Linked DNA regions of Oryctolagus cuniculus. The protein of the gene in region 1 interacts with the protein of each later gene in a pairwise test. Links are inferred from orthologs where the notes say so. Each region holds a gene or a part of one and is shown on either strand. Other genes may lie near its edges. The genes, in order: CDC5L, AKAP9 and WWC1.

What was found.
Region 2: the proteins of CDC5L (region 1) and AKAP9 interact in a two-hybrid assay, tested with the Homo sapiens proteins (2 studies listed by BioGRID and IntAct). The link is inferred for Oryctolagus cuniculus from reciprocal best matches to the Homo sapiens genes CDC5L and AKAP9.
Region 3: the proteins of CDC5L (region 1) and WWC1 interact in a two-hybrid assay, tested with the Homo sapiens proteins (2 studies listed by BioGRID and IntAct). The link is inferred for Oryctolagus cuniculus from reciprocal best matches to the Homo sapiens genes CDC5L and WWC1.

Annotation. Positions count from the first base shown.
Region 1 is NC_091436.1:125,738,243-125,741,987, forward strand, and holds the start of CDC5L (cell division cycle 5-like protein), read right to left. Parts: upstream 2,394-3,745; 5' UTR 2,056-2,393; coding exon 2,011-2,055; intron 1-2,010.
Region 2 is NC_091447.1:43,776,097-43,779,841, forward strand, and holds the start of AKAP9 (A-kinase anchor protein 9), read right to left. Parts: upstream 2,262-3,745; 5' UTR 2,176-2,261; coding exon 2,128-2,175; intron 1-2,127. UniProt on the Homo sapiens protein: Scaffolding protein that assembles several protein kinases and phosphatases on the centrosome and Golgi apparatus. Required to maintain the integrity of the Golgi apparatus. Required for microtubule nucleation at the cis-side of the Golgi apparatus.
Region 3 is NC_091437.1:55,263,299-55,266,943, forward strand, and holds part of WWC1 (protein KIBRA), read left to right. Parts: intron 1-899; coding exon 900-1,092; intron 1,093-3,645. UniProt on the Homo sapiens protein: Regulator of the Hippo signaling pathway, also known as the Salvador-Warts-Hippo (SWH) pathway.

The DNA.
Region 1 (3,745 bases):
AAACACACACCCAATTGTGTGTGGGAACAACCACCTCTGAGCAACCCTACTTTCGGACAGAGATTAACAAAAAGTATTCTCCAATATGTGGCTGTCATTCTTCAAGCAGGCACAGCTCATTCATTTACACCTTCACTCAGAAAACACTTCCTGAACACTTGCCTTGCACCAGGTCTTGTATACTTGGGGAGAGAATCGAATAGGACACATCCAGGCCTCAAAAAGCAAGTTGGGACTCAGATGAAACCACTCTCCAATTCACACTTCCTGCCTCCAGTTCAAGCACGGCCTTTCCTCCCCAGCCCCATCCGCCCCACCACGACCCAAGAATCCACATCTCAGATTAGACCATATCTCAGTTCTAACCTGAGATTCAAATATTTCTCTCCACAACCCCTCCCAAGTCATCTCTCTCCAGTCTCCCCCAGACTCTAGATACTATTTCACCAGGGCTGCCACCCAAACACGGAATGTACCAATCCCAGAGCAGCCTGGCAAGCCAAGCCACTGGCGCGGAGGACGATGGAGCCAGATGTGAATGCACTTGAGACATTTCACTTGCAGGCTCTGTTCCACAGCCAACTGTAGAAATCTGTCAGCAGATTTGACCGTAGCACAGGAATCCTGCTACTACTTGATTTTTTCACGGGTCTCTCCCTCACAAGTCAACTCCTCTCCATTCAAACAGCCTAGTTCCCTCAGCACAAGGGAGGGGACTTGCACTGCCTTCATCTGTCACGTGGTGCTGCACCTCTAATACTTAGATCACAGCTACGTCCCGCGTACCCGCCGAGATGCATTCCACAAACATCTGCCAAGCAACCTACTACTTCACGCTGGTTACTCTCCTGTGCTCCAGGAAGAGCAGGACCTGTTCCCCTCCCCTCCCCCAGTGCTGTCTGGAGAGGTAAGAGGTGCCTAGCACTGGCTGAAAGGCTACTGTGTTCCCGACTGTTCCAAATGTCCCAAATGTGGCAGCTCACTTAATCCCCACAGAAACATGAGGAATCTAAGGCTTGGAGAAATGGAGAAACCTGCCAGCATCACTCCCAAGGATGTGACACTGGCAAAAGTCAAAGCAAGCCGACAACAAGTGGATGACAGGCACCGTGGGCCCACAGGGGGGTGCTACCAACGCTCACAGGCTGAACAGGCGAAGATTTGGCCGCCAAGGGCTTCTGAACCAGGTCAGGAGGATGCCAAGCGGGTCGAGGATACCGCAAGGAGGCACAGAGGTAATAAAAGACACGAGATAAGCCGTGCTCAGAAACTGATCGATCCAGGGCACTCGACACGAAACGCACTCAAATCTCATTTCTGTCTTGCTCCCTTTCTACTGCTCTCCGGCTCTCAGATGGCACGATCCACTACGACACTACCCGCAGCAGTCTGTCCTATCTGGCTTCAAGCCATGCCAAGGCGGAGAGACGGGAAGCTAAGAGAGAGACAGGCCTTGGCATCTGTCGGGAGAGCGCGCACAGGCTGTGCCTGGCTGACGGATAAACCGACGGATGCAGGAGAAACGGGCGCCGAGAACTCGGTATGCAAGCTGCTTCCCCTCTCTGCAAGAAGTCAGCGAAGAAACAAAGTTGTGGCTGCACCAAGTTCTTTAGTTTTGGGGTGCCAGAGACAGCCGCGAGCTGAGGGGGGGTAGCGTCCCGGAAGATCACCTCTCCTGGATGTCCCACCCCTCCTGCCACCCAGTGGGGACCTCGGGGAAAGGGGGCCGGGGCGGCGCGGCCTCGACTCAACAAATGTTCGCTAAGGGCCTAACAAGTGCCTGACGGTGAGCTCGGAGCCGAGCCGCCGGTCCTTGGGGCGCTCCCGTCACCCCTGGCGGGGAACAGCGCTGAGGCGCCGAGGGTCGTCGGCCCTGGCGCTGCGCGGCCCGGCCCACCCCACGCAGACCCCGCAGGGCATCCTCGTCCGCTCCCCGGCCCCCGCGCGCGCGCGTGCGCACAAGCTGCCGGAGGGGGCGGAGGGCAGCGGACGGCGGGAAAAGAGACTCACCTCGGTATTTCTCCACACGCCGCCCTTGATCATAATTCGAGGCATCTTGGCGACAGGTGGTCTCGGCAAGCGGCCGAGAGGAGCTTCAGAAAAGTAGTAACGGCGCTCCGGTCACGGGACCCAAAGCCGCCACTTCCTCCAAGCGCGACCTTCTGCTTTGAAGAGATCTGCGCAGGCGCAAGGAGGTGGCGGGGGGGGCGGTGGCAGAATAGCAAGTCTCGCGATATCTCGGGAGGCTGAAAGGTTAGAAGTGCTTTCTCAAAGCTCTAGTGTACAGACTGACAGAAAACCATCAAACTGCTGTGGCCGTAGCGCCGTGCGCCGCGCGCATGTCCAAGTCAGGCTGGAGGAAGCCATGGCTCTCGCGAGACATCCGCAGCGGCGGCCGGCCCGGCGTCGCGGTGGGGTTGGTCATCGTGACGTCACTCGGCGGTGGGGGTGCAGACGGGTTGTGTGTGGCCTTGCAGAGTAGCCGGTCCGGAGAAAGCGTCGCGAACTAGCGCTTTATTGAGCGTTTCGCTAGTCGAGTACGCAGGAGGAAGAGAACAGCTTATCTGCGGCTCAGTTTCCCAACCTGTAATACAGAGTAGTAATAATAGCCCCCACCCAGTGGGGTTCTGCTAAGAAGTGAGGTCCTCAGCGGAGTGCAGGGTCTGACAGACGACTGTTCCCAAAAAGCGCCGCTGCGATTCCAAGGAGGGCAGCGCCTCCACCTGCCCCCGGGGAGGGGCGCAGCGGCTGTCCCGGAAGCCCCCACCGATGTCCCCTCAGCGTCTTTCATCCATCGCCATTCAGTCTGTGTGAATTAATAACAAAGACCATTATGGGCGCTGGTATTAAGGGAGCCGGACTCGAGTTGGGCCGGAATCTTGGCTGTCTCGTCAGCGTGGGTAATACCCGTGCTGAATCTCAGAGTGCTCGTCTGAAAAGTGGAGCCAGCAACACCGGCTTCAGCAATCGGAGGGGCAGGATTAGCTGTGACAAACCAAAACCTAACCTTGGATAAGGGTTGTCCAGCTCTCCGCCACCCCACTTCCGAGTTACTCAGACATCTTTCCCATTTCAGAACATCGCTTTGACGCCAGTCCTAGGAAATATGAAAATATTTAGTTAATGGATGAGGAAAGTCCTGGGTCTTTATATAGTGCCTTGCTCTTTAGGTTTTTTCATTTCTCCATTTGCGTCTTCTGGAAAAACTACAGAATGTTCTGATAATTTTTTTATCTTGAAATGGGAACTTTTTAGGTGTTTTTAATAATGCTGATGTCATTTGTTGGCATAAAAATTATTCAGATACAACAGGATATTTTTAAGATTTTTTTTAAATTTATTTTTTGAGAGGTAGCTTTACAGACAGAGAGGGCAAGAGAGGTCTTCCATCCACTGGTTCACTCCCCAAATGGCTGCAATGGTGGGAGCTGGGCCGATCAGAAAGCAGGAGCCAGGAGCTTCTTCCGGGTCTTCCACGCGGGTGCAGGGACCCATCTTCTATTGCTTTCCCAGGCCATAGCAGAGAGCTGGACTGGAAGAGGAGCAGCAGGGACAAGAACCAGAGCCCATATGTGATGCTGGCACCACAGGCAGAGGCTTAGCCTACTATGCCACAGCACCAGCCCCACAATGTAGTGTCTTTAGAATGACTATACTTTATATTCTGTGTATTTAGTCAAATATTTTTCTCATAACTCCCAATGTGTACTTGATCTCCCTATGTGTTCAGCAACTAATGACAGCA
Region 2 (3,745 bases), on another chromosome or scaffold:
TGTCCCGGTTGACCCTCTTCCAGGCCAGTTCTCTGCTGTGGCCAGGGAGTGCAGTGGAGGATGGCCCAAGTGCTTGGGCCCTGCACCCCATGGGAGACCAGGATAAGTACCTGGCTCCTGCCTTCGGATAGGCGCAGTGCGCCGGCCGCAGCACGCCGGCTGTGGCGGCCATTGGAGGGTGAACCAACGGCAAAGGAAGACCTTTCTCTCCGTCTCTCTCTCACTGTCCACTCTGCCTGTCAAAAAAAAAAAAAAAAAAAAAAAAGAACCCAATGTTTTTCAGTCCTAACTAAAACACATGCTTATATAGAGAGGAAATAATTTATAGACTATTTTTGATGATGCCATTTTCATTCTATCTTCCATGCTGTTAGTCTTCATAACGTTAATGGCTGCATACTATTCCATTGCATTTATACATCTTAGAAAGCCAGTCTCTTCATATCATCTCTCAAGACTTATTTCGGTATTTTTATTGCAGAGCTAATGTGGCCCCAAACATATCCTGCCTTATACGTTTCACAGATTTCTCACTGGGAAAAGCAGGCTTAACTCCAGAAGAAGATAAACTTCTGAAATACAAGTTAACCTATTAACATTACTCCATTGGTAGAATTTTGAAACACACACACACACACACACCGCTAGAGCATACAGAACTCCATTTTGCCAAATCAACTACTTACAACTATTTAATTAAATCCTCTATCATGATATATGTCTGTCCAAAGTAAATCACCTTTCATGGGACTGCTTCACATGTTTTTAGGAAAGACATTTTTGGGGGCAAGCAGTAAAAATTCCCAAGCCAGACAGATTAGAACTTCAGTGCTTCTGGAAGCCAGCACACAGCTAACCTCCCTCAAGGGACACACGGGGTTTGTGTAATGTAAGCAATTTGGGGGCTCTGGAAGGTGCCCTGTTCCCCTTCCCTCCATGTACAGATTCTAAAAGTCCACCTGGCTACCTGTGAGCCTGGACCTCGGGCGGAGGGAGCTTCCTGCAAAGCCCACTGCATTGCTACGTTACACACGCAGGCAGACACACCTGGGATGAGCACTCTCCTGCTGCACCTCTGCAGGTGGCCCTTCCCGGAGGACTGCAGCCAGGGCCCCGGTTTCCTTTGTTTATGTGGGGGGAGGGGAGGGAAGGCGGAGAGGAGAAACAGTTAACTACACTACCATTTAACCGCAGTCCAAGTATGATTGCTGACAATTACCTCTACAGAGATTAGCAGATAACCTACAAAAGGTCATTTCGTTGTAAAGAAGAAGGGGTCCTTTGGGGCCAACCAGAAGACACGTCTAACACGCAATGTTTAAAAGAAATAGGTTATTCAAATGTATCTCGTGTCAAGTTTTTCATGAAGCCCAAGGAATGACACCTGTGTATGATTTTGTATTGTTTGCTTTACAGGCTTTTTCGTGCGCGCGCGCACACACACGAAACAGCGGCTCACCGGAGCTACACAGAGGACAACGACATTACTCAAAGCAGGAATTCTGTAGGTGTCACTTGGAACACAGAACCTCTGGGTTCCCAGAAGTTCCATGCAGACAGCCTCGGTGCCGCGACAAAGACCTCCGCAGACAGACATACAAAGGCACGCTTCTGTCAACGCCCCTGCAGCCAAGTTCACAGCTGGCACTTGTGGCACACTCGAGCCACTGCCGAGGCAGCTGTCACAGGCCAATCACACACGCCCCGGAGTGCCAGCGTGCCAGAGAGGCGGGCGAGCCGCCGGCCGCGCGCCAATCCCCCCCAAATAAAGGAGAAGCCCTGAATCTCCTCGCTGGGCAGCACAACGCCTGCACCGCCCAGAACACCCCCTGAAGAAAGTGAAAGGCTGAGATTCGGGAGCAATTAAACACCAGCTGACGGCAGCCCTGGGCATTTACGAGAAAGCAGCCACGCCGTTCACTCAGCACCCAAGTATCGGCGGCGAGGAGGGGGCGCCGGGCTTCGCCCCTACTGGAACAAGGGGCGAGGGGGAAACGCGGGGCCGCGGCACCTCGCTCCCCGCCAGCCAGCGCGCGCCGGCCGCCGCCAGCTCCGCTCCCAGGCCCCCTCCCACCCTGCCCAGCCGCCGCCTCCCTCCCCGGGCCCGGCTGCCTCCGCCTCTCCTACCTTCGCTTTGCCGGCCTCCAGCTTCTTCTGTCGCTCCTCGTCCTCCATGGCCTCTGCGGGAAGGCGGCGGAGCAGCGGGCGGGGTTTGGGGGAGACAGGAAAGGTCGGTTCAGGCGGAGGTGGGGCGGCGAGCTCCGCGGCCCAGCGAGCAGGCCCGGCGCGGCGCGGCCCCGCCCGGAGCGCGAGCAGCCTCCGCGCTCACTGGCGGCTCGTCCCGGGCCGCACGGCCAGCGCCGTCACCGCCGCCGCCATCTTCGTCTCCACGTAAACACTCGGCGGGCGTCGTGGGGGGGGGGGGACGTCGGTCCGCGCAGCCGCCGCGCCGGGCAGGTGCGCCGCGGCCCCGCCCCCGCCCGCGCCGTCCTCCCGCGGCCCGGCGGCTCCCGGCGGCTCCCGGCGGCGGCGGGGCTGAGGCGGGAGCGGTGTCCAGGGCCGCCCGCCCGCCGGCCAGCAGTGCCGCCACGGTGCGCGGGACTCGGCGCTCTTCAAACAGAGCGGTTTTTCCAATCACGAAGCCATCAGATATGAAGGACCTCTGAGCAGCCACAGTGGCCAGCAGGCGGGAGAGACTTGCCGGACCCCGGCTTTTCAACCTAGGTGGACTCCTCCACGCCAGAAACCGGGAGAGCGGCGACTGCGGCGGTGACTTCCCTGGCCTCGCAGTCCCGCCCCCTGGCCCACGCCGGTTCCCGCCCAGGCTGCCGGGTCCTCCGAGGCCCACCTCGCACGCCTCCGCCTGCACGCACACGGCTCCTGTCTTTGTTCGCCCCCCGCCCCCGGGAGGGCTCCTGCTGAACCTGCACTCCCATCCAGCCTCGCTGGGGCCTCTGGCAGCGGTGCTCTCGGGGACCCAGCCCGGGCGCACCACCTGACACGACACACGTTACCTGTCCTGGGATTGGGGAAGGGTGGTCATCTTTGTGACTGCCCCTGGCCTACCGAATCGCCCCGAATTAATGTCGGTTGCCGTTTTTCTCGAATTTCCTTGATGTCCTCTGCACGCGTTTTGTTGGCTTGCGTGCTTCTTAGGTCACCTGATATTCCTGGCTCCTTGGAGGCACGGACCCCCTCATGGATCCTGCTCACCGTGGCATTAATAAACGACTAGCACAGGGCTTTGCTCCGAATAAATACTGCTGGGTTGACTGGTCACGTCTATAAATTGATCATTACTCTTCCGTTTCTTCCACTCACCTGGCCCCGCAATCCTCCTCCTGCCCCCTTCACCACCCTCCCATTCGCCAACCCTCCGTTCCTAGAGTGAATACAAATGATCCTGTCTTAGGTTGAATACTGATGTTGAGTTCCCCTCTCCTTTGTTGAGTGAGGTTGGGCTGAGAAACTGTCAGGAGTGGAAACAAGCTGCGAGTTCAACGTATTGGTGATATTCAGTGAAACTTGGGGTTAAAAAAGGAAAAGGTGGGAGGGGGGTGCTCTGGCATACCAGGTTAAGCCCCCACCTGGCGCTGGTTCCAGTCCTAGCTGCTGCTCTTCTGTTCCAGTTCCCTGCTAAGGGCCTAGCAAAGCAGAGGAAGATGTCCCAAGTGCTTGGGTCCCTTAACCCACGGGAGAGACCCGGAAGCAGCTCTGGCTCCCGGCTTCCCATCCAGCTTTTGTA
Region 3 (3,645 bases), on another chromosome or scaffold:
GGCGTTGGAGCCCTGAGCAAATCCTTCATGGACCCTGCCCTCCTGGACTTGAGCCTCAGGAAGAAGAAGGAATGGTCACAGTCAGGTAGATCTCTGAGCTCAAGTGTTGCACCTAGAAAGGAGTGAGTCCTGGCTTCTCAAGGGTCAGCGCCAGTTCCTGTGCTCCCCGTGCCAGGGTATGGCTGGGATTACCGACAGGCTGATCAGCCAACAGACACCTGCACCATCTGCGTGTTGGCTCTCCCGTTGTAGACGAGGTTTGCATCTGATGGCACGCGTCTGCCTACTTGCTTCTCCTGTAACGGGACCATCCTAGGCCATAAGGGCAGCCACGGGAGCTCCTGCTTCTCTGGTCTGTACCCAGCCAGCGTCTGGGGGAGAGGAATGGCAGGGAAAGGAAAGCAGACAAAACAGAAGGAGGACGAGACTGGATGCTCGGGGGTCTTCAGTCCTCTGCAGGTGTCGGCAGTGCCGGGGTGAACATCCTTCTCCTGGTCTGTCTCACTGGTCCTTGTCCACGGTATCAGGGGGACAGTGCCTAGAAGAGAGGGCCAGCACAGCTATAGTTTTCTTGGGCTTATCGAATTCCCCTGCACAAGGAAGGTTTTGTTGCATTTGCCTCTTGGGGTAGGAGGGGCAGATTCCCCGGTGTCAGCAAGCACTGGCTGCTGCTGGCCTCGGGCTCCGGTTGTATGGAGCGGGGGATTCAGGGACAGGAAGGGCGTGCATGCCCCTCAGCGGCATATCCTGCATCGCTCACAAGTACCCGTGTAGCAACTTGAGAAATTTGCACATTCACAGCCACTGTGAATCTTGGAGATTCAGCGGCTATTTCACCCAACACAGTAGCCCCAGACCTGTGCTGACCCAAGCTCTCCTGCCACCCTGTCTCCCTGTAGGAACGTTCGCGTGGTTATCCTTCCTTGCTCCGAAAGCACCACCTGCCTGTTCCGGACGCCGCCCCTGGACGCCTCGGACACCCTGGTGTTCAACGAGGTATTCTGGGTGTCCATGTCCTACCCAGCCCTACACCAGAAGACCTTAAGAGTCGACGTCTGTACCACGGACAGGAGCCATCTAGAGGAGTGCCTGGTGAGAGCGTATCTCCGTCTGTCCCTCTGTCTTTCTAGCCTTCTAGCCTTCTGGGGATTGGTCCACCCCAGGCTGCAGAGAGAAGGCGAGAAGGAGGCCCAGGTCGAATCACCGGTCAAGTTCGTTGGCTTCTAGACAGAGATACTTTTCCTCATAAGAGGAAGAGTAGTGGGCCTGAGAGAAATGCAGGAGATGCCAGCCACAGACCACAGCTTACCTGTGCAGCATTAAGGATGAGACAAGAAACACTGAATAATGAGAACAAGCAGTTCTTCTTGCTATATAGCTGGGTGGCCTTGGGCAGTGGACTTAACATCTCTGGTGCTCTGTTTTTTCATCCATAAAATGCCCTAGTGATGCCCACTAGGGAAGTTGTTACTTGGATCCAGGGAGTCAGTACAGGAAAAGCACCTGCTGCCATGCCTGACACACAGAAGGCTCTCGTGCAGCGGGGCCCTTACTGGTCCACTCCCTGGAACAGAGCTCATGTGGCTTCCTCCCACCCACTGCACTAGCAGGAGTCAGGATCGGATATGAAGGAGCCTGGGGTCTGTGTGTGTCCTGTCCTTAGGGACCAGCAGCCACATGTACAGGTGGATGTTGGTCAGCCACCTCGTAGATGAAAGGGGGATTTATGTTAAACTCAGGGGCTTGTGACATACAAATCAAAGAAGTGAAGTCTTTGTTAGCCCTGGTGCCATTCTAGAGGATAGAGTATTTTGTTTATTTATTTATTGGTTTTGTTTTTTAAGTTTGAGAGGCTGACAGATGGAGAGAGCCAAAATAAAGCCAGCTCCCATCTAGTGGGTCACTCTCCAATGCCCAGAACAGCTAGGACCTGGATGGGCTGAAGCCAGGAGCCAGGAACTCAACCTCAGTCTCCCATGTGGGTCGCAGGAACCCAACTACTTGAGCTGTCACTGCTGTCCCCTGGGGCGCACATTAGCAGGAAGCTGGAGTCAGGAGGCAGAGCTGGGAATCAAACCTAAATACCTTTTAACTTGCCTTTTAACCACTAGACTGCATGCCTACCCTGAGACAATTTTGATGATAACTCGTGGACTCTGAGCTAAGTGCTTTAGTGTGCTGGCTCACTTCAACCTTACAAAACAGGTCATGTGTACCAGAGGGGAAACTGAGGCACACAGTGGCAAAAGACCTTCCCTGTAGTCACACAGTCAGAGAGTGGCAGGAGCCTTATTGGACTCCAGGCGGGTCCATCTCTGCTCAGGATTTCCTGGAGAGCGTCGGTGGGAGTGGAAGTGTGATGTCCAGGGTCAGGCCAGCGTGGTGGGCATTTCGGTTACAGCAGAAAGCTTTTCCACACCCAGGCGCCTCCAGTGGAGCATTTGCTCAGCCCTGGGCATTCCTAAATCCGAGGAGACTCGTGCTATTTTCTCCTCCTAATTGGATGCCTTTTATTCCTCCTTCCTAATTGAAGTCTGGCCATTGCTGGTTGCCATGGCAGCAGCCAAAGCGCTCATCTCCCTGTGGCTTGTCTCTGTCCGGGGCCAATCGGAGCTCTCCCTTTCCGTATGCCATGGGGACGTGGAGTGTCAGGCTGTCATGTTTTGGTGGTGAGAGGAAGTGAGACGGGAGGAGACAGGGATTGTCTTCTGCCACCCAGAGCCTCCCTGCCTTGTGCGTCTGCTGGGAGCCCTGTGGTCAGCCAGGCAGCAGCAGTCCCCTCACTGGGCGGCGTCTGGGTGTCTGCCCTTGGCCAGGAACTCTGTGTGCAGTATCTCAGTGCATCCTCATGGTAGCTCTGAGAGGAAGTAGTGGGGTGACCTCCCTCTGCCAAAGGCTGATTTACTTCTGCAGATCCTCCAGCAAGTCGATGGAGAAGCCAGGGTTTGTAGCTTCCTTGTGTGTAGCCACTGCACTTTCCTACCTCTTGGGGTTGCTCTGAGTGACTCTCATATCCCCTGACCCAGATCAAGGTTTTGGGGGAACATGAGGCCCGCCTTCCCTGCCTGTTGCAAGTACAGAGTATGCTCACTGTGGCTTCACAGGAGTCCTGGTTGCCCCCTGTGCACCTGCTAAGCTTTGCCACACAGCTCATGCTCTGCCCGGGCGGACCCACTGCCAGGTCTGGTTTACATTGTGATGGTTCCCCTGGCCCATCTCACATGGCCACGCTCACTGGGCCGTGTCCCAGCCCTTTCCTTCCTTTCCATCTGACGAGTGGGAACAAATGCTCACAACCCAGCTGTATGTATTGTGCTGTCTCCGTCCGTGCTGTCTACTTTCTGTAACTATAACTGAGCATCGCAGTCTGAGTCATTTGTAAAAACTAAAGGTTTATTCTGCTCACAGTTGTGCAGGCAGGGAAGTTCAAGATCAGGTAACTACACTGAGTGAGGGCTTCTCTGCTGGTAAAGACTCTGCGGAGTCCCAAGGTGACACAGTGCATCCCACAGCAGACAGAAGGTCCCGGCTGGGTCTCTCCTCCTCTTTGGATAAAGCCACAGTCCTGTTGCCTTAGGGTCCCATCCCTATGGCCTCATTTAATCTTACCACCTCCAGAGGGTCCCACCTCCAAGTACGATACTC